4 linked regions of the Drosophila melanogaster genome follow. The protein of the gene in region 1 interacts with the protein of each later gene in a pairwise test. Each region holds a gene or a part of one and is shown in the gene's direction. Other genes may lie near its edges. The genes, in order: Ugalt, Srg2, CG30423 and CG14042.

The links.
Region 2: the proteins of Ugalt (region 1) and Srg2 interact in a two-hybrid assay, tested with the Drosophila melanogaster proteins (one large-scale study listed by BioGRID).
Region 3: the proteins of Ugalt (region 1) and CG30423 interact in a two-hybrid assay, tested with the Drosophila melanogaster proteins (one large-scale study listed by BioGRID).
Region 4: the proteins of Ugalt (region 1) and CG14042 interact in a two-hybrid assay, tested with the Drosophila melanogaster proteins (one large-scale study listed by BioGRID).

What each region holds. Positions count from the first base shown.
Region 1 is NC_004354.4:2,700,624-2,705,385, reverse strand, and holds Ugalt (UDP-galactose transporter), read left to right. Parts: upstream 1-1,640; 5' UTR 1,641-1,865; coding exon of another isoform or gene 1,866-1,881; 5' UTR 1,882-1,929; coding exon 1,930-2,098; intron 2,099-2,610; coding exon 2,611-3,548; 3' UTR 3,549-4,262; downstream 4,263-4,762. Other genes in the region: eIF2Bbeta (eukaryotic translation initiation factor 2B subunit beta), read right to left, coding at 1-393, 463-549, 613-668; Lint-O (L(3)mbt interactor in ovarian somatic cells), read right to left, coding at 4,691-4,762.
Region 2 is NT_037436.4:10,095,199-10,100,085, reverse strand, and holds Srg2 (Sting-regulated gene 2), read left to right. Parts: upstream 1-1,970; 5' UTR 1,971-2,084; coding exon 2,085-2,334; intron 2,335-2,883; coding exon 2,884-3,056; intron 3,057-3,117; coding exon 3,118-4,251; 3' UTR 4,252-4,332; downstream 4,333-4,887. Other genes in the region: CG42826 (uncharacterized protein), read left to right, coding at 1-729.
Region 3 is NT_033778.4:24,874,465-24,877,415, reverse strand, and holds CG30423 (uncharacterized protein), read left to right. Parts: upstream 1-1,550; 5' UTR 1,551-1,635; coding exon 1,636-1,651; intron 1,652-1,756; coding exon 1,757-1,757; intron 1,758-1,822; coding exon 1,823-2,078; intron 2,079-2,143; coding exon 2,144-2,251; 3' UTR 2,252-2,440; downstream 2,441-2,951. Other genes in the region: CG44247 (uncharacterized protein), read right to left, coding at 119-212; CG16896 (uncharacterized protein), read left to right, coding at 2,776-2,951.
Region 4 is NT_033779.5:5,035,872-5,041,367, forward strand, and holds CG14042 (uncharacterized protein), read left to right. Parts: upstream 1-1,837; 5' UTR 1,838-2,250; coding exon 2,251-2,886; 3' UTR 2,887-3,239; coding exon of another isoform or gene 3,240-3,869; intron 3,870-3,937; coding exon of another isoform or gene 3,938-4,189; 3' UTR 4,190-4,248; coding exon of another isoform or gene 4,249-4,305; 3' UTR 4,306-4,947; downstream 4,948-5,496. Other genes in the region: Col4a1 (collagen type IV alpha 1), read left to right, coding at 1-337, 606-866; SP555, read left to right, coding at 3,240-3,869, 3,938-4,156, 4,249-4,305; CG31650 (uncharacterized protein), read right to left, coding at 5,011-5,496.

The sequences.
Region 1 (4,762 bases):
TTGAGGAAATTCTCGACGCTGCGCGAGTGTCCCAGTGTCAAGATGATCTCCGACGAATGGATGTGCTCCTCGGCCTGGACGCAGATGTTCTCCGAACTGGTCTCCAGCTCCGTTTCCACCTCCTGCAGGTGGTCGAGCAGCGCTTCCCGCAATCCATGCTGGGGCACCGAGTAATCTACGCTGACGTTGCTCTCGCTGGTCTGCGTGACTAGCTTGTGAAGCGACAGCGAGGCCTGTGAGTCGTCCGCGAAGTGTTGCACCTTGGCGTGCAACAGATCGAACTCCTCGCGAGTCAGCTTGAGGATCCGCCTGGCAATGTTCGAGGTAACCGTCTCCTGGGGCAGAGCTGCCTGCAGGATCTTACACTGGTCGCGCACAATCTGCATGAGAGCACTGTCAAATGAGGGGGAGTTGTTTATCAGTTAATGTGTTATCCTTGGTGTGCCATCCCTTGCAACTCACTCGGCGTTCTGCCAGCTCTTGCTCATGATGATGTACTTGAAGATGTCCAGCGTCTTGTTGGTTATGTTGTAGGATCCCTCCACCAGCCTGCAAAACATATGCCACTTTAACAACCAAATGAATCGCAGTGCCTGCCAACCGACGACTTACCCCACTTTGATGGCGTGGATGAGCTGTGTGATCTCCTTTAGCGGCTGTTCCTTCATCGTGTCCTGGCGTCTCTGGTCTTTGCAATTATGAATTATCAACTAAAGTGGCCAACTGTTACCATTATTCAGTTAGAAAACTATTTACGAAATCGCCACACCGAGCAATGTTATCGATAGGCGGCAGGCGAAAGCGAATTCTAGTGATGAACTCAAAAAAGTAAAAGATTTAAAATCAACACGGAAATTATTAATGTTTTCATTTATTGCATTTGATTAAATTAATTTATTTAATCCCCCCAAATGGCAATATATTTGTAATGTTGTATTGTAAATTTGATGCATCGCAATTATCAGGTGCCGCCAACAGGTTGTTCATCATTCACTGGCTTAATTTGATGTTTTATGTTTATTTTAATTGTCTGCATATACTGGCTTTCATGACGTATTTTCAACGGCAGCTGAGTAAATAGCCAACCTAGTGCGGCAAAAATAAATTTCGCTGGGCTTAAAAATTTAACATACATGTGCATGTAGAACAAGCATGCACAATATGTATTTATGTATTTCGTCCATGAGTTTTCTTGTTTTCTACTTTCGATCCCCATGCTCTCTTGTTAAATTTTAATTTTAATTTTAAAGTCATAATATATACATTAATTTAAGCAATCTCAATGCCCGATTATTGTATATCTAGCTTTTTTTGCAAGCAACTTCTTTTTTCGCGAGTTCCGCCACAATGCCAGCACTGTGACTATCGAAAAGTCGGTCTCTGCTGCGAAAATAGCAACAAAAGCTGCACGCCATGGGCGTAGCTTGCTTTAAAATGGGGATCCATCCCCCAGGAGCATATGTAAGGTGTATTTACTTTACTGAAATGCACAATGCACTTTTAAATTTTGTTTGCATTCAATTAAGAAGGTTTCGCATTTATGACCCCCGTTGCAAGCCCAGGACCACGTCCCTGGCGCGCAGCAACAACAACCACATAGGCGGCGATAAAAAGCCGCCGCTGGCAGAAGCTTCGGGCTCTGATTGTTGTTTACGTGTCGCCCGGTCCAGTGGAGTCGTCTTCATTTGCGCTCTTCTGCTTTTCTGGCCAACTTGAAGGGAACGAACTGCCAAACGGAACGGCCCGCCGACAACTGATCTTGGCCAGGAACGGAGTCTTTGTGTACCCCCAACTACGGCGTTTTGTTTGCCTTCGGTTTCTATTTGGTTTTGGAGTTGAGACAATAGAGCTAGAAGCGTAGCACCATGAATAGCATACACAGTGAGTATTTGGCCTTTAGTGCGGTGGCGTTACTCCAGCGGTACTGACATGGCGCTCCTGCCCGCCCCCGTCACGTATTCCTATTCCCATCGCACAGTGAACGCCAATACGCTGAAGTACATCAGCCTGCTGACGCTGACCCTGCAGAATGCCATCCTGGGCCTCAGCATGCGCTACGCCCGCACCCGGCCAGGCGACATCTTCCTCAGCTCCACGGGTGAGTGCTTATCCAAAAGTCCAACAGGTCGTCGGGCTCAGCAGGTCAAGCCGGTTCACCGCTTAGCAGATTCACCTCGTTGCCCAGAGCCACTTCCACGAAACCTCGACGTGGGTCTGTCCACGCAAGCAGCAACATCAGCAGTAAAAGCAAACGAGTCGAAGAGGTGGAGGTGAAGGTGGTGTAGGAGCAGTGGCAGGCGGGGAATGGTCGTTCGGGTAGATGTGAAGCTGCCAAAGAAACTGATAAGCAGCCACTTCCGCATTTAGCTCCTAATAGCTTGATAAAACTGTTGGGGAACTTCTACCGCGATAGCTCAAGGAGGTTTGGTTGGCATTCTTGAATTACATATGGGTTTACATTTTGCCATTAAACTTTGGTTATTGCTTTGGTGACTCTGTGTGTAAGTTAACCGGACTTATTTGAAAACCCGAACAGCGATACTTGGACTTATTAGTATATATGTACATATATTTGATTGATTGATTGCCATTTTGCGCCCTCTTTCGCAGCCGTACTCATGGCAGAGTTCGCCAAACTGATCACGTGCCTGTTCCTGGTCTTCAACGAGGAGGGCAAGGATGCCCAGAAGTTTGTACGCTCGCTGCACAAGACCATCATTGCGAATCCCATGGACACGCTGAAGGTGTGCGTCCCCTCGCTGGTCTATATCGTTCAAAACAATCTGCTGTACGTCTCTGCCTCCCATTTGGATGCGGCCACCTACCAGGTGACGTACCAGCTGAAGATTCTCACCACGGCCATGTTCGCGGTTGTCATTCTGCGCCGCAAGCTGCTGAACACGCAGTGGGGTGCGCTGCTGCTCCTGGTGATGGGCATCGTCCTGGTGCAGTTGGCCCAAACGGAGGGTCCGACGAGTGGCTCAGCCGGTGGTGCCGCAGCTGCAGCCACGGCCGCCTCCTCTGGCGGTGCTCCCGAGCAGAACAGGATGCTCGGACTGTGGGCCGCACTGGGCGCCTGCTTCCTCTCCGGATTCGCGGGCATCTACTTTGAGAAGATCCTCAAGGGTGCCGAGATCTCCGTGTGGATGCGGAATGTGCAGTTGAGTCTGCTCAGCATTCCCTTCGGCCTGCTCACCTGTTTCGTTAACGACGGCAGTAGGATCTTCGACCAGGGATTCTTCAAGGGCTACGATCTGTTTGTCTGGTACCTGGTCCTGCTGCAGGCCGGCGGTGGATTGATCGTTGCCGTGGTGGTCAAGTACGCGGATAACATTCTCAAGGGCTTCGCCACCTCGCTGGCCATCATCATCTCGTGCGTGGCCTCCATATACATCTTCGACTTCAATCTCACGCTGCAGTTCAGCTTCGGAGCTGGCCTGGTCATCGCCTCCATATTTCTCTACGGCTACGATCCGGCCAGGTCGGCGCCGAAGCCAACTATGCATGGTCCTGGCGGCGATGAGGAGAAGCTGCTGCCGCGCGTCTAGCTCTGGAGGAATCCGGATCTGCCAACAGTATTTGTCCGTAACCCGGAGGCCGCCGTTCGGTAATTGCTCTGGTGTATCCGGTGCATCCGGTGTCCTTGATATTCCCCACGTTTTGTGTGTATATATATTAGGATGGATATTAACGTCTGGACAATTCGTAGCACTTTCTGTTGAGACGATAATTGTAATGTAAAGCAGCGATAAGAATACTTAATGATTTATGTAATTTAAATGTATTTAGGGTATTCACTAGCGAAACTAAAGTGTAGTTAATGAAATGATGCAGCTTGAATGCACGTTTTATTGATCATTTTAATTGTTACTTTGCGAATGCTGAGGAATGCCAGCAGTATTTACTGGACAACACCACACATACCGTGCCTATCCTTTTGTAAATATCCACTTGCACTCAAGTTTAGACTAAGATTTGTAACGATTTATAGTTTTCAAGTTACACTTGATGTTCGGCCAATTCACAGCCACAACTACTTTTGTTCGAATTTTTTTTTTAGAAGATCATATATATGTATATATATTTACTTGAATGTGCATTATTTATTCATTGCCAATTACTTTATTTTTGAGAAATCCTAGGTTGAGCCAGCCCAGACTTATATATTTGTATTTGAACTAAAGTCGCATTACTCGCACAGTGTTTTAAGAGTGATTCCATATCGATATGTTTCATTTCCTTTGAATAAATATTAGACGAATAAAAGGCGTATTTTACTCCATCAAAAAGTAATAACAACTTTCAACCCACGATAAGTAAAAGCACAACAAAGGTTTTGGGGTCAGTTTTTTGCTTTATTGGCCAAGGAAGGTTTCCTCTTAACTGAAGAACTTTAGTTCATCTATAAAAGAGTAAACCTTTGCCTCTACCCTTAAAAAAAAAAAACACCTTAATAAAAATCATAACGTGTTGCAAATTCAGCAGATACCATTCAAAAGTATGTGCATTTGCGAGTGTGGGATTACGGAACATTTTTAAAACTAAAGCAAAATCTTAGCCATCCGCCAGAAGACTTAATATAAGCTTTATTGGCTGCGAAGTGATGCGGTTGCGATGGCTACAGAAGAGAGTATTGATTTAAATTAAGTGTGGTACATGACATTAGGTGCTAAGGAGGTGGGTGGGGACGCTAATCTAGCCAGGCGAGGCCAACGTCATTGGATTGAGTCTGCAGGGACATCACGAGTTCGAAGACGCGCAG
Region 2 (4,887 bases), on another chromosome or scaffold:
GTTGCCCTGAGACACCTTCAAAGGCCATATATGGTGACCAGTGAAATGCTACTGAGATTGGATGAACACAAACAGTATGTGGCCGACAACAGGGAAATGTGTTTAGGATCGAGTCTGCAGAAAGGGTATCCATCGGTTCTTAAGCTTTTGGCCCTTCGATTGTTGGGAGTCCTGTCCCTGAACTCCATCATATGCAGTGCTCTCTATGAAACCGGTAATCAGTTGGTCAGCTGCTTGTATGCATGGCCTTTTGTGGTTTTCGGGCTGCTCCGGTGGGGCGGATGCTTTTTTGCGGTGCTTTTGATGGACACCACAGGCCGTAAGAAACCGACCCTTTTCGGAATCTTTTCCACCGGAGCCTTTGCCATCGCATATGCCAACTTATTTGGCCGAACTCCTCATATGATCACCGCCCTGGTGATGCTTTTCAGTCTCCAATTCTTCGAGGGACTGGGACAATGTGCATCGGCGGTTTACCTCACTGAAGGCTTTCCTCTACTAATGAAACCACATATGGTGGCTGTGGTATACATAATGGAACAAGCCGCACGACTGCTCCTCTGTAGCTTTTTACCATCGATCGCAGAAATAACAGCATACTTTCACTCCATGGGAGCACTTTCCATGGTGTGTTTTCTTCTCGGAATCTTCTGCCTGCCCGAAACTAGACTAGTTACTTTGGCAGAAGCACAGCTCAAGTTTTCAAAGTGGTTCAACAAGGATTTTTAGGTATAAGTGGGTAGGGGGAAAATAAATGTTTATATGTAACAACAATTAAGAATGTATTTTGTTAAAGCGCATTAAAGTAGTAGTAGTTTATTTGTAATTTTTGATACGATATTTTTAATCAGGTGCGATAATGCCCAATTACATAAACTATTTGCACAGCCGCTGAGTGTTGATTGGTTGAGTGGTTTAGTATTGATCACAAACAAATGAGGATATATGTAGAAGTACAATATCCATGAGTCGAATGGACCCAAAAAAAATCTGACAGAATCTATGACCACAGTTTCAGGAAGTAAAACAAATTGAGGCCAAGCACCTGGGAATCAGGTTGGTGATTCCCGAAACAATAATCTTATCTAGACTGGTCGAAACGTGGTAATTCAGGCTAAACATTCTGGCTTATTTCTGAATTCTGAATTTGGAATATCTTCATGATATGCTTCAATACTACTGGCAGACGAAGCCGCAATAATTTTCTAAAAACAAAAAAAAAGTGACCTTGACCTTGAGCCAGAAAAAACAATACAGGTGTGCCTTTCTGGTGATTCAATAAAAGATATAATGATAAAGAAAACAAATCACGCTGATAATATACCTTATAATGACTTATTTTTTCTTAATTACTTCCTTTTTAGTATTGCCAACAAATAAAACCAAAAATAAATTCCCAGAAACAATCAATATCAGCAAATACATATTTATATGATATTATACGACAAATGTATGGCATTAAGTACTCAACAAAAGTGGGAAATAAAGGATATAAAAAAATTATACCTTATCTTTTCTTTATTTTTTCCGTTTTATCTTTTTATTAATTAAAAATTAATCCATGAACTTTAAATAGAAAATATTCTCTTAAAATTCTTATCTGAGCAATTAAACCACTTTTTAATAACTATATGGCGAGTATAAAAAGTATGAATCAGGCCTAATAACTATGATCAGTCATACCAACAGAAAAAGCAGGGGAAGACCCGTTCTCCGGTTCTTTAATTACGTCGAATGAATCAAAAGGGCTGTGATCTGTAGAGAGTTTTATATACCACATATGTACATCATAAAGTATTATTCACAAACATTGCGATAATCGTCCTTATCGGGCACGCGTATATTAAGTTTTGAAGCATTTACTGAAATAGATGCCGCCCCCTAGTGATAAGGGATTGAATCCGCACTTGATTATCAGTTGGGCAAGGCTCGATAGCAGTGCACATAAATATCATTTGGCCAGCCCCCGTATTAGCCAGTTTCAAATCGACCTCTACCGGAGCAGTTTGTCTTCGCAATAGAGTGAAATAGATATAAAGCGATCGGAAATTCAGAACGATAAGTTTGCCCCACCGCCGTTGGCCATGCAAAACGACAAGTATCCAGCGCCAATAGGCTTTTATCCACCACAAGGACAGCCGGGATATCCACAACCAGCGTCACAGCCAGGATACCCTCAGCCAGGGCAGCCGCAACACATCACACCGGCGGAGACATACGGACCACAACCACCGCCAATGCCACCGCGGGATCCACACACCAGAGTGGATCCACCAGGAGGATGCTTTCAGCGCAACCAAAAGAACAAACCTCAATCCAATGCTGTGGGCGCAGGTGAGTTCAGTTCATTAGATCGATCAGCTTAGTCACCTACTGATGAGTAGTTGTTCACCACGAGGTTAATCTAATCTCGAGTGTTGGAAGTATGAATCTTTTTCTAGAGCCCAAGTAGATTATGATGACGATGACGTAAGTGCTAGTAGCCAAGCATTCGAATTTAATTATTTTAGTACTACGATAATCGAACGGCTTATACCAGTGACTTATGTTTCCATTAAAACCATTTGTGAAGATGTTGTACAACCCTAATCGATTGAAAATACTTAGGTATATTTTTACAACTAAATAGATTCGTTAAAAATTTAATAAAAATTAGTTTCGTAGTTGTAGTTTATAAAAAAAAGTTTCGACCCGAAAAATATGTACTTTCTAGTTCAAGATCAGAACCTGTCCGTATAAACGTCGTGATCTCAGGAAGATTGTAAAGACGCCTACTTATTTTGGCCAAAACGGCAACGTGGTTATGAATATTTAACTGAAAAGATTAAAATTTGACACCAATCCTTCGACAGACTTAAATCTATATATTTGATACTCTTTCAGCTGGTCTCATCTTTATCTCTGGAGGTATGAACATAGCGTGGGCGATTGGCTTCCAAGGACCAATCTATTACCAAACCACCAAGCACAATTACATTGCCTGGTTCATAGGCGCCATTATTGGAGCTTTGGTTACGATGGCGCTGACCAACAAGGTGGCCAAAAAATATATTCTGGTAAGCGGAGGAAGCCTGTTGGCACTTTAAGTTTTTATTAATCAATTCCTTTTACGCACAGCAATTTTCTTCAGTGTTGGTGACCGTCGGTGGATTGGTTATTGCCTGCACCCACAATAATGGAGCTGGAACCACGGCAGCTTGTTACCTAGATGGTATTGCCAATGGTCTGGTATTTGCCCCATTTATGGCGTTGGTCGGAGAGATCTCGGTTCCCTATTTGAGGGGCAAGGCCAGTGCCACCTTGGAGCAATTGTGCTTTGGAACCGGTATACTTCTTCAGATCCTTTATGTGTCAAATTGGACATATTCTTCGTATATGACATACAATGATTTTACGTCCGAGAATATGAAAGGAGTGCTGAGCACAATCTACGGCGTTTTGGCCCTTATTATGGGCTCATTTTTTACCATCGAATCGCCGGTTCTAATGCTGGCCAATAACGAAGAACAGGCGGCCATTGACGCACTGCGTCGGCTACAAAAGCCTGCGGTGCTAACCGAGGAAACTTACGAGCTTCTGGCGGAGCACAAACGCTACTTGGCCTACAACAAGAATATGTCAAAGAGTGAAAGCATTTCCAAAGCGCTGCCCACCTTCATGCGACTTGCATACCTGCGCGCCCTGAATGCTATGAGCATCTCCAGCTTTGTGATCATCACTTATGTCGTTGCGATCTTAGTCTCCAATGATTTAAGAAATGCGAGCTCCTGGTACATAGGATTAGCCTTTTGCCGTTGGTTGGGATCCCTAATCCCATCCTTTTGCATGGAGTCCTTGGGCCGAAAGAAGCCTGCGGTCTTTGGCCTGCTCGTAAGCTGCGGCTTGTCGTTTGCCGTGGGTTCACAGTACAATGTATATACGTATATGAGCCAAGTGACCGTCTTGATAATGATTTTCGAGTTCTTTGCCGGTATGGCCTTCTCATCCAACTCGGCCTACCTGACGGAGGCATATCCCATGGGAGTTAAGCAACACTTTATCGGTTTAACTTTCATCACCGAAATATTTGTCTTCCTCATCATAAATGTTTGTGACTTCAATTTTGGACAAGGCTACAACTACTTCTACATCATGGGAGCCATGTACCTGGCGGGAGTGATTCTCGGAGTCCTTACACTGCCGGAGACAAGGAGGATGACCTTGCAAGGTGCCCAGGAGCAGTTCAATAAATTCGTTAACTTCCGCTTTTAATGTTCAAAGGAATTATAGATTAATAAATCTACTATTAAAGTGCAAGAGGTCTAAGGCCTCTGTATTCCTCCACATAACGATACTCACTGTTTTTTAATCATTCATAATATAAAATTATTAAGTATAAATTATTCGGCGCCCAACTTGTTTTTTCGCTTTTATATTTTTCAACCTAAGTTATAATGCTTTACAACAGCCATATAAATAGTTATTATCTTAATACTACCGTATGATAAGGTGATGAGACATTCAAAACATATTTTTGTGGAAGCGTAATAAATTTCAAGCATATTAACATTGGTAATAAAATAGAATCACAATTGGGAAGCACCTTAGAAACGTATGTTTACCTGATTAAACTGTTATAAAAACAAACCAAATCCGTTCAATGCTTCTTTTAGTGGCAATAAAACCAACGAATATGCTTTGATACGACGCTCTGCTAATATCGCCATTTGCAGCTTATCAATAACGTATTGATTTGGTATTGACTATATGGCTTTCTATTTGAAGGGAATTTCCAACGAACTGTTATTTGCTCCTATATGACAAACAATCATTACATTAAATATCATTACAATATTTTGAAAGCAAATAATTTTTTACTCCTGTTAAAGTTCAAACAATCCCAATTTT
Region 3 (2,951 bases), on another chromosome or scaffold:
CCTTTCCTTTCGCTCCTCCTGCGCCATTCAAGCCCGAACACTCAGGCTGCGTGTGTGGGTACATGGGTGTACGGGCTTATAGGTGAATGGGTGTGTAGTGCGCTATTTTTAGGCTTACCTGGGTAAACGGACATTTCGCAATGACCCAATATGCTGCACAGTAGCGTTGCAGCGAGCGCCAAGCTAACGGTGATTTCCAGGCGAGCCGCCATCTTGCACTTGCCACCAAATGCACTCCCACTTGCGGATTTCTCGAGACCTCAGAAATCAATTTCGAATGGGAACTATCTAGCACTGCACGACCTCTGCCACCACTGCCATATGGCCGGTTAATGGGGCTTTGGCTAGAACGACGACGTCGACGAGGGTTATTGATTTTCAACACCCACACTCGCACACACTTGCGAATATATCCAATTGGCAGCTGCTGGTGGTTGCTCCCCGAACTTTTGCACTTTCGCGTGGGCGTGCAATATTTCTGGCTAGTAACCTGCGCCAACTGCACTTCTCGAGGATTTTTGGGGGTTATTAGGTGTCCTAGCAAAGGTTATGCTGCACTCTACCGGGTGGTTAAAATGTCAAATGGTGCACTTTTCTCACAGATTGCTGGCGAAGAAGCTCAGATGGACATATGGCTGTGGGGATATATGCGGATGGGACTCGACTCCTGGGCTGCGTTGCTCCGCTGTCGACGTATACCGTTATACTGAAGAAACTGAATGAGCCTGGCGGCGGCAAAAAGCCCGAGAAGAAGCAGAAGCTGTGACGCAAATGTTAGGTTCGCCCCCGCGCTGTTAAATGTTGCGGGCAGCTTTTGAGGGCAGGCCGCGCAGCAACAACAACAACCAGAGGGGCACAGTAGTCAAAAGCAGCGCATGCGCACAGTGGGGCTGAAAAGCTCGGCACGTCCGTTCCTTTATTCTTTGAGTAAACACGGGCATTCATAAAGAGCCGAGACGAGGCCAAGGAGACTCTCGGCCAGCTAGCAGGTGGCTGCCACTCACGAATTCCGAAGCCCCGTCAGCCAACTCCACGCCCGCTTTGGGAGAACCCTCCCTTTCCTCCAGCTTCCTCGCTTGGGATAGGGCGTGCTTAATTTTTATCAATGAATTGGCAGCCAAAGAGCTTTTCTCACCGGCAAAGGACTGCGGGAGTTATGGTAGGCCGAATAGTGTATGTGTAGCATTGGTCCTGATGTCCGAATCGGTTGGGAGAAATACCCCCAAGTGGATCTCGGATTCTTACGCGAAATGATTTCGTAACAGATTATCGGGGAATACTCATCTTTTCCTTGCTTTCTTTTCATTGATTAGTCGTTGATAAACGGACTTTTAAAAGACATTTAATAAAAAAGCTTTTAAAAACTTAAAAACCAAAGGTAAGTCCTTTAATAAAGCATTTCATGGAGGTTCGGAGAAAATTAGCATATAAATTGAAAATACATTTAATTAGACCTGGAAGAATTTAAAATCGAATTTAATAAATTATTTTTAACGGTATATACTAGAATCGGTATATTACGTTTAAATAATTTTGAATGGTCATGTTTCGGTCATACTGATGAACTGGTTCATCTGGAACTACACATCTGAGTCATTTTTAGGAGCGACAAAGGAAAAATTATAAACAAATACAATGGCCACCTTAAAGGGTAATTATGCACAACAGTCTCTAGCAAATCTAATGGCTTACATTCTTCGCCTACATCAACACCAACTGGAACCCGCTACACGCCTCTTTTGAAACCATCACACAGCGTATGTCTACAACTACACCCACTCCTGCAGCCAACCGTCTGATAATGATTCCCCTCTTTGTGCAGCCTCTTCATCTGCGCCTTTCTTACATGCATTGGTGTTACCTTCCTGATCCTGGCCTGCGCCGTGCCCACGACAAAGATTTTCTATCCCTTCTTCGTTTTGCTGTTCTACGTGCTGTCAGTTCTTCCAGTCTTCATTGCCAGGAGGACAACTCCTGGAAATGAGACCAATCCGAAATCGGAGTTTGCTCACTTCCTTACCGCGGGAATGGTGCTGAGTGCCTTCGCCCTGCCCATCGTCCTAGCCCACGCATTGGTGGTAAGTGGACACACGGAGCTATTGGGATTTTAAGAGTGTTAAACACGCGATGTCATTCTTAACAGATCACCTGGACGGCGAGTATCCTGACGATAATAAGTAACATTATTAACTACGGCACCATCTTCTGGTACGCCATGCGCGATGACGAGCCATACGGATCCATGTTCTAGAGGGGATTTGTAGTTCACAAGCTCACTAGGCTAGTAACCGGCGCAGGAATATCACCGATGCACTGGGTCCTAGGGTTACGGCCATTTATCCGTAAGCACGCATGCTGTTCGCTTATCCGCAGTCATCAACAAATCTCATATAATCAAATGTATCCAGATAAACGCAAACAAAATAAACTGACGTAGTAGACATTGTCTGGTTCCGGTTCTTTTTGCTGGTTCGATATCGATATCTAAACCACTATTCCATAAGCAGTAATTCTCTCCACTGGCGTATCAAGGAGGGATTAGCTCTCAGTTTTCACTCACTTAATTGAACTGGAAATATTTATAGTCGAAAAAAAATAGCCTGGATGGTGTTCATTTGGCTGCACTGGAACTAGGAACAAGCATTCAGTTGTTAAATATACAAATTTGTAAATATCCTTGCTGGATAAATGAATAGCGGTGTGGCGTTCCTTTTTTCATTGGCGAAAGTACACGTCCTTTGACAAATGGAGTTACACCTCATTTGAGCCCATAACATGGACAGGATTATAAAATCTGAAATCAAGAAGGAACAGATCACGGGTATTCCTTCGGTGGCCCTTCATGGCATCGAGAACTCGATGCAGGACGATAGAGATGTCAACACTGACGTGGAGGAGGACTTCACGGAGGAGGAGTTGGAGCTATTCACAGATCAGGATTCAGACACGGG
Region 4 (5,496 bases), on another chromosome or scaffold:
CTCCCTGTTGTACGTCGATGGCAATGACTATGCCCACAACCAGGACCTTGGATCCCCCGGATCCTGTGTGCCACGCTTCTCAACGCTGCCCGTACTGTCGTGTGGTCAGAATAACGTCTGCAACTACGCCTCCAGAAATGACAAGACCTTCTGGCTGACAACCAACGCCGCCATTCCGATGATGCCCGTTGAAAACATCGAGATCCGCCAGTACATCTCACGTTGCGTCGTTTGTGAGGCGCCGGCTAATGTGATCGCCGTGCACAGTCAAACGATAGAGGTGCCCGACTGTCCGAATGGCTGGGAGGGTCTCTGGATTGGCTACAGTTTCCTCATGGTGAGTATCGGAACACTTATAACGTTAGATTATAGAAGAATGATGAGAGTTTTCAAAATCCACAAGGGATGCGTTTCCGAAGTTTCCCTAGCTTTCCAGCAGATGGCGCACGTTCCAACGACACTCTTGCGCCATCTGTTGGATACTGCGTAGCGAAAGATTTGATACAATAGTTTTAATTTTCAACCTTTATTCCTAACTACTTGTGGGATTTTAAATAGTTCTTTTATAATGATGCTAATATTAACCCAACCATTTCCTATAATAGCACACTGCCGTGGGCAACGGTGGCGGTGGACAGGCGCTGCAATCGCCTGGCTCCTGTTTGGAGGACTTCCGTGCAACGCCCTTCATCGAGTGCAACGGCGCCAAGGGCACGTGCCACTTCTATGAGACGATGACAAGCTTCTGGATGTACAACCTGGAGTCCTCACAGCCGTTCGAGAGGCCACAGCAGCAGACGATCAAGGCCGGCGAGCGGCAGTCGCATGTGTCCAGGTGCCAGGTGTGCATGAAGAACTCCTCGTAGGACCTCCAATCCCAACACAGACACACCCACAGCACAGAGCATAAGTTTAATCTAAATGTAAAGCCTTAAAATTACCAACGAATCGTGTGCACACCCACACGATCACAACACAAACACAAACAAACAAACCAACACACACACACACATACATACACCGACGAACCAACACTGCTACAAATTCCTTAATCTAACCAAAAAGAAAAAAAAACGGATCCACAAGTCGAAGTGCTAATTACCGACCGACCTGGACCACAATGCCATTTTTTATCTGCCAATTAATGTTCTAAACAAATGTAAACTGCTTCTAAGTTACGTTACGTATGTTAAGTAAATGAAACAAATAAATAAACTAGCCTCGGTCGTATGTCCAAAAGTATAAAATAAACTATGTGCCAGCATGTTCCATTTATTTTTGAAACCGATTAAATGCGAAACAATGCAACAAAACGCGGTATCGAACGAATATCGAACGAATCGAATCCTCAACTGCTATACAAAACTTGTCGCATATCGTTTTAAAATAAACTAAAATTTATAAATACAAATTACGACCACAATTTCATACAAGCCTATTTAGAGCAAATATTGTTGAGGATAAAAAATCGTATGCCCTTCAGTGATAAACTTCCTGCAAGACAAATACTGCATACTTTTTACCCCTAACATTGAGTGATAAGATCTTCCTCAAAAGACCAGGGCTAAGGGTAGGCTATTGTGGTGGAAACCCCGTCGCGGAGAACCCTTAAAAAAGCAATGCCAAGCCAAGGATGAGAGCGAACTCACCTCGTGCACTTGTGCGCATGCCATTGCCTCTCTTTGTGCGGATTTGCGGTGGGGGAGGGGGTTGGTTAGCTGTCAAGGGGGTGGCGATGACGATTGGGGTCGCCGTGGACGGTTTGCGGGGCATAAAGTGGGGTGGACCGAGCCATATGATAATGATATGCAGACACACACACGCGCACAAAGTCCAATTGGTGGTTGGAAGCAGGTCGTGGAAAATAAGGGTAGGCCTTTGTGGGGCGATTCAAGTTGGAATCGTAAAAGTGAGTTGGAAAAAAAGTGCCAGAAGCCAGTGTGACTTGGACGCAAGCGGAGGCGGTCGTCGGTGGGAGTTGTAACTTCAGCCAGATAAGAGGAGCTGCTTTTTGTAGGTGTGGAGGAGCAGCAAGACGGAAAAAATGTGTGTACCTCGAAAAAAAAAACAGTGAAAATTGCGAGCTCTCGTTTGGAAAGCAGCGTGAAATTTGCATAAACTAACAAGACCACAAAGCCAACGGGAAGTGCACCACCAAAATCAGAGACTCCCAAGAAGCAGCAGTCTTCCGCCCCACCAAAAAAAAAAAAAAAAAAAAGGAAGAGGACACACCACCACCCCTACATATTTATGATTATCGTCCTGCTGCTGCTGTTCCAATCGCTGTGCCTCTACTGCCAACGCCTGGTGCTCTACGTCCACGACCGATGCTTCCCGAGGAACGTGCGCCTGCTGCAGGAGGTGGCCGAAACGGTGGGCGATCGTAAGGCGCCACAGCGCCTGGCGGAGCAGCAGCTGGAGCAACAGAAGCGCAGCCAGAAGCGTCGCATCCTCGAACCAATCCTTCCGCTCGTTGGTGGCCTCAATTCCGAGGCCTGTCGATTTTGTGCTCACAGTCCGCAGGGCTACTGTCGCCATCACTTCCATCTGCAGGAGCTGCAGCTGCACAGGCAGAGGGGTTCCGGTGGTGAGCAGGATTTCCGGCAGATTCGCCGAATCAAGCGGGAGCTAAAGCGGACTCTTGGCCAGCAGCAGCAGCAACTGCAACCGACGAGAAGCTATCGTCCAGTCCGACTGAGTGCCAGCTGGAGCAGCAGTTCCCTGAGCAGTGGTTACGCTTCACTGACCAGCGTTGGATCGCAGGAGCAGGAGGAGGCGTCCTTCGATCAGGATATTATTGAGGACGTTCCACTGGAGGAGGAAGCGGAGCTGCAGGACCTGCCGCAGGAGGATATCCAACAGCCCCTACTAACCACTTACTTGTAGATAAACGCCTCTTGGTCTCATCCTTGCATAAAGAATCATCCACTTGGAGTTCGTCTGGAGAACTGAAGAACCCTTCATAAAAACTATGCTATAAAGATGTATTGAAAAAAATTGTATAACATAGTTAACCACCAGAGAAACGAAAGAACAAACAACTACGAGCTAAAGACGCCACCCCTGAAGCCGCTCCTTGAACGATTTCAACAACTTTTGAGACCTGGAGAAGCTCATCAACCCCAGGAAGCCAACCCTATTGAAAACTTAACCCCCCCCCCCCCTCCCAACAGTTCGAAGGGTTCCCTTTGTCAAATTGATACAAATTGAGAAGCGAAAAAATTTCTAGTCGCAACACAATGTCTGATGTTGAAGTGGATCCACAGCAGGCTCACCCCCATCCCATAGCGGCAATTGCCCCGAGGAGACGTCGTCCAACCGGTCGACGAGGAGGAGTAACAGGAGGGTTGTCGTCCGGTTCACTGGATGCATCATCTTCCACATCGCCGCCACCCCGTTTCTGTCCGCTGCCCAATGGCGTTGAGGATAACTGGACGTGGAGCAAGCGGCACCGCTCCAAGGAAGTGGTGCTCAGAGGACCCAACTCGCGGACCGTGCACTTCCATCCCAACTGGAGCAAGGGCACTGCCGGTGTCCAGGGCAAAAGATCCCTGAATAACGGACGGCATTACTGGGAGCTTCATGTCTCGCAGCGCGTCTTTGGCACCTCGATAATGTTCGGTATCGGTACCAAGTCGGCACGGCTACATGCCAACGCCTTCCGGAACATGCTGGGCGAGAACGAACACGGCTGGGGACTGTCCCACAAGGGCGTGCTCTGGCACGAGGGCGTGGCCCTGCTGTACACGAAGCGGTTCCGCGAGAATCAACCCACCCAAATTGGCGTTCTCTTCGATGGCATTGAGGGCACACTCACCTTCTACAAGGATGGCAAGTGCCTGGGCGTTGCTTTCCGCGGATTGGATCAGGTGAGTCCGGTTGAATTGTTCAATCCTCCAAGGATCAGGCTCTAGAATCTCGCCTAACTGCCCAACAGATTGATGAGCCCCTGTACCCCATCGTATGCTCTACTGCCGCCAAAACGGAGATGACCCTAAAGTGCACCAGGAGGGAGTTCGTCAACCTACAGGATCGCTGTCGGGCGGTGATCATGCGCCGCGTACGAAGCGCTGCGCAGCTGGAGAAGCTGAAGCTGCCGCTGCCCATCGCCGACTATCTGAGCGAGGTGATCGACGAGAAGAAGCCACTGCGTCAGGTAGACAACTACGATATACTGTGTGATTTGTAGAGCTCGGATCGTGTCCGGTCAACGTAAGCTAAGTTTATAGAGTACGTCCTCGCCCCCAGGTGAATCAGCTGGAGATGTGCATTATGAATTACGATTTGTATGAGGCCCGTGAATGATTTTAGTGCCATCACATATTGGAGTGCCCAATGACTACCAGACGATGCAGTGGCTCCTCTGGGACGTGTGCATTTCTCGTAGTAGCTTTAGAGCGTGCTAAGTTTAAGCATTCGGAATTTGTGTGGATAATAGTCGTCCGACCTTTTGATTTGTCTTCATTTGTAGCGAAAATGTGGGAAAATAGGCCAATTTGGTGCAATATTTGTGATATAAGAAATGAGAAAAACGTTTTTCGGGGCTTCAAGTGCTTGCTAGAAAATCGCAAAATAATCTAGAGCTAAGCATATTTTTCGGTACAGACGAGTGTGAAATCTAGTCAAAAAGAACACGCTGCTAAACTAATTTTGTAAATTCGCAGACAGCAATTAAGGCCTAAGTACTGTAATGTAACAAAATGAAAATGTGTCTAGTCATAAATTGCATATAAAGCAAAGTGTAATTTAGTAAAAATTATTTAGTACGCTTTATGTAGATTTTTGTTTCTGTTTATATAAATTACTACACATAATGTAATTGATACATGACGAAACAAACGAAATAGTATTGAAAATTAAATTCGTAAGAAGTGCTCAAAAGAATTTGGCGATATTGATTTGCAATTGTCACTTGAATTTACATAAATAAACATAAATTTACTAACTATTTAAACGAAATACAATACTAAGCACAGGTTCACTATAGCACGATGGGGCTTTGAATGGCATCTAGAGCTCGTCGGAGAGATGGTTAATGTTTTGTAAATGGTCGCCGTAGTCGGTGGCCTCACTGCCCACAAAGGTATCGTAGTTGTTGAGTATTTCCAGGTAGGACAGGCGATCGTCGTGATCCTCATCGGTGGAGACAAAGAGATGGTCCACCTCGTCGTTGGCAATTGCCGTATTGCTTGGCACAATCCAGGATAAGACCTCATCGCCCGTCAGCACGCCATCGCCATTGGAGTCGTGATCCTTGTCGAAGCGCTCCTTCTCCGTGATCAGCCACTCCTTGTCGTGGTGCGAGGCTGCGTCGCCGACAAACTCCTGGAAGTTGATCTTGCCATCGTGATCCGCATCTTTGTCCTGCATCGTGTGCTCCAGCAGTATTGGCAACATTTGTGGATGCTCCTCGGGATTTTGGAATAAAACGAATTCCTCCAGCGTCAGCACACCATCCTTGTTCGTGTCGGCCGCATTGAACATCTCCTTGTCCTG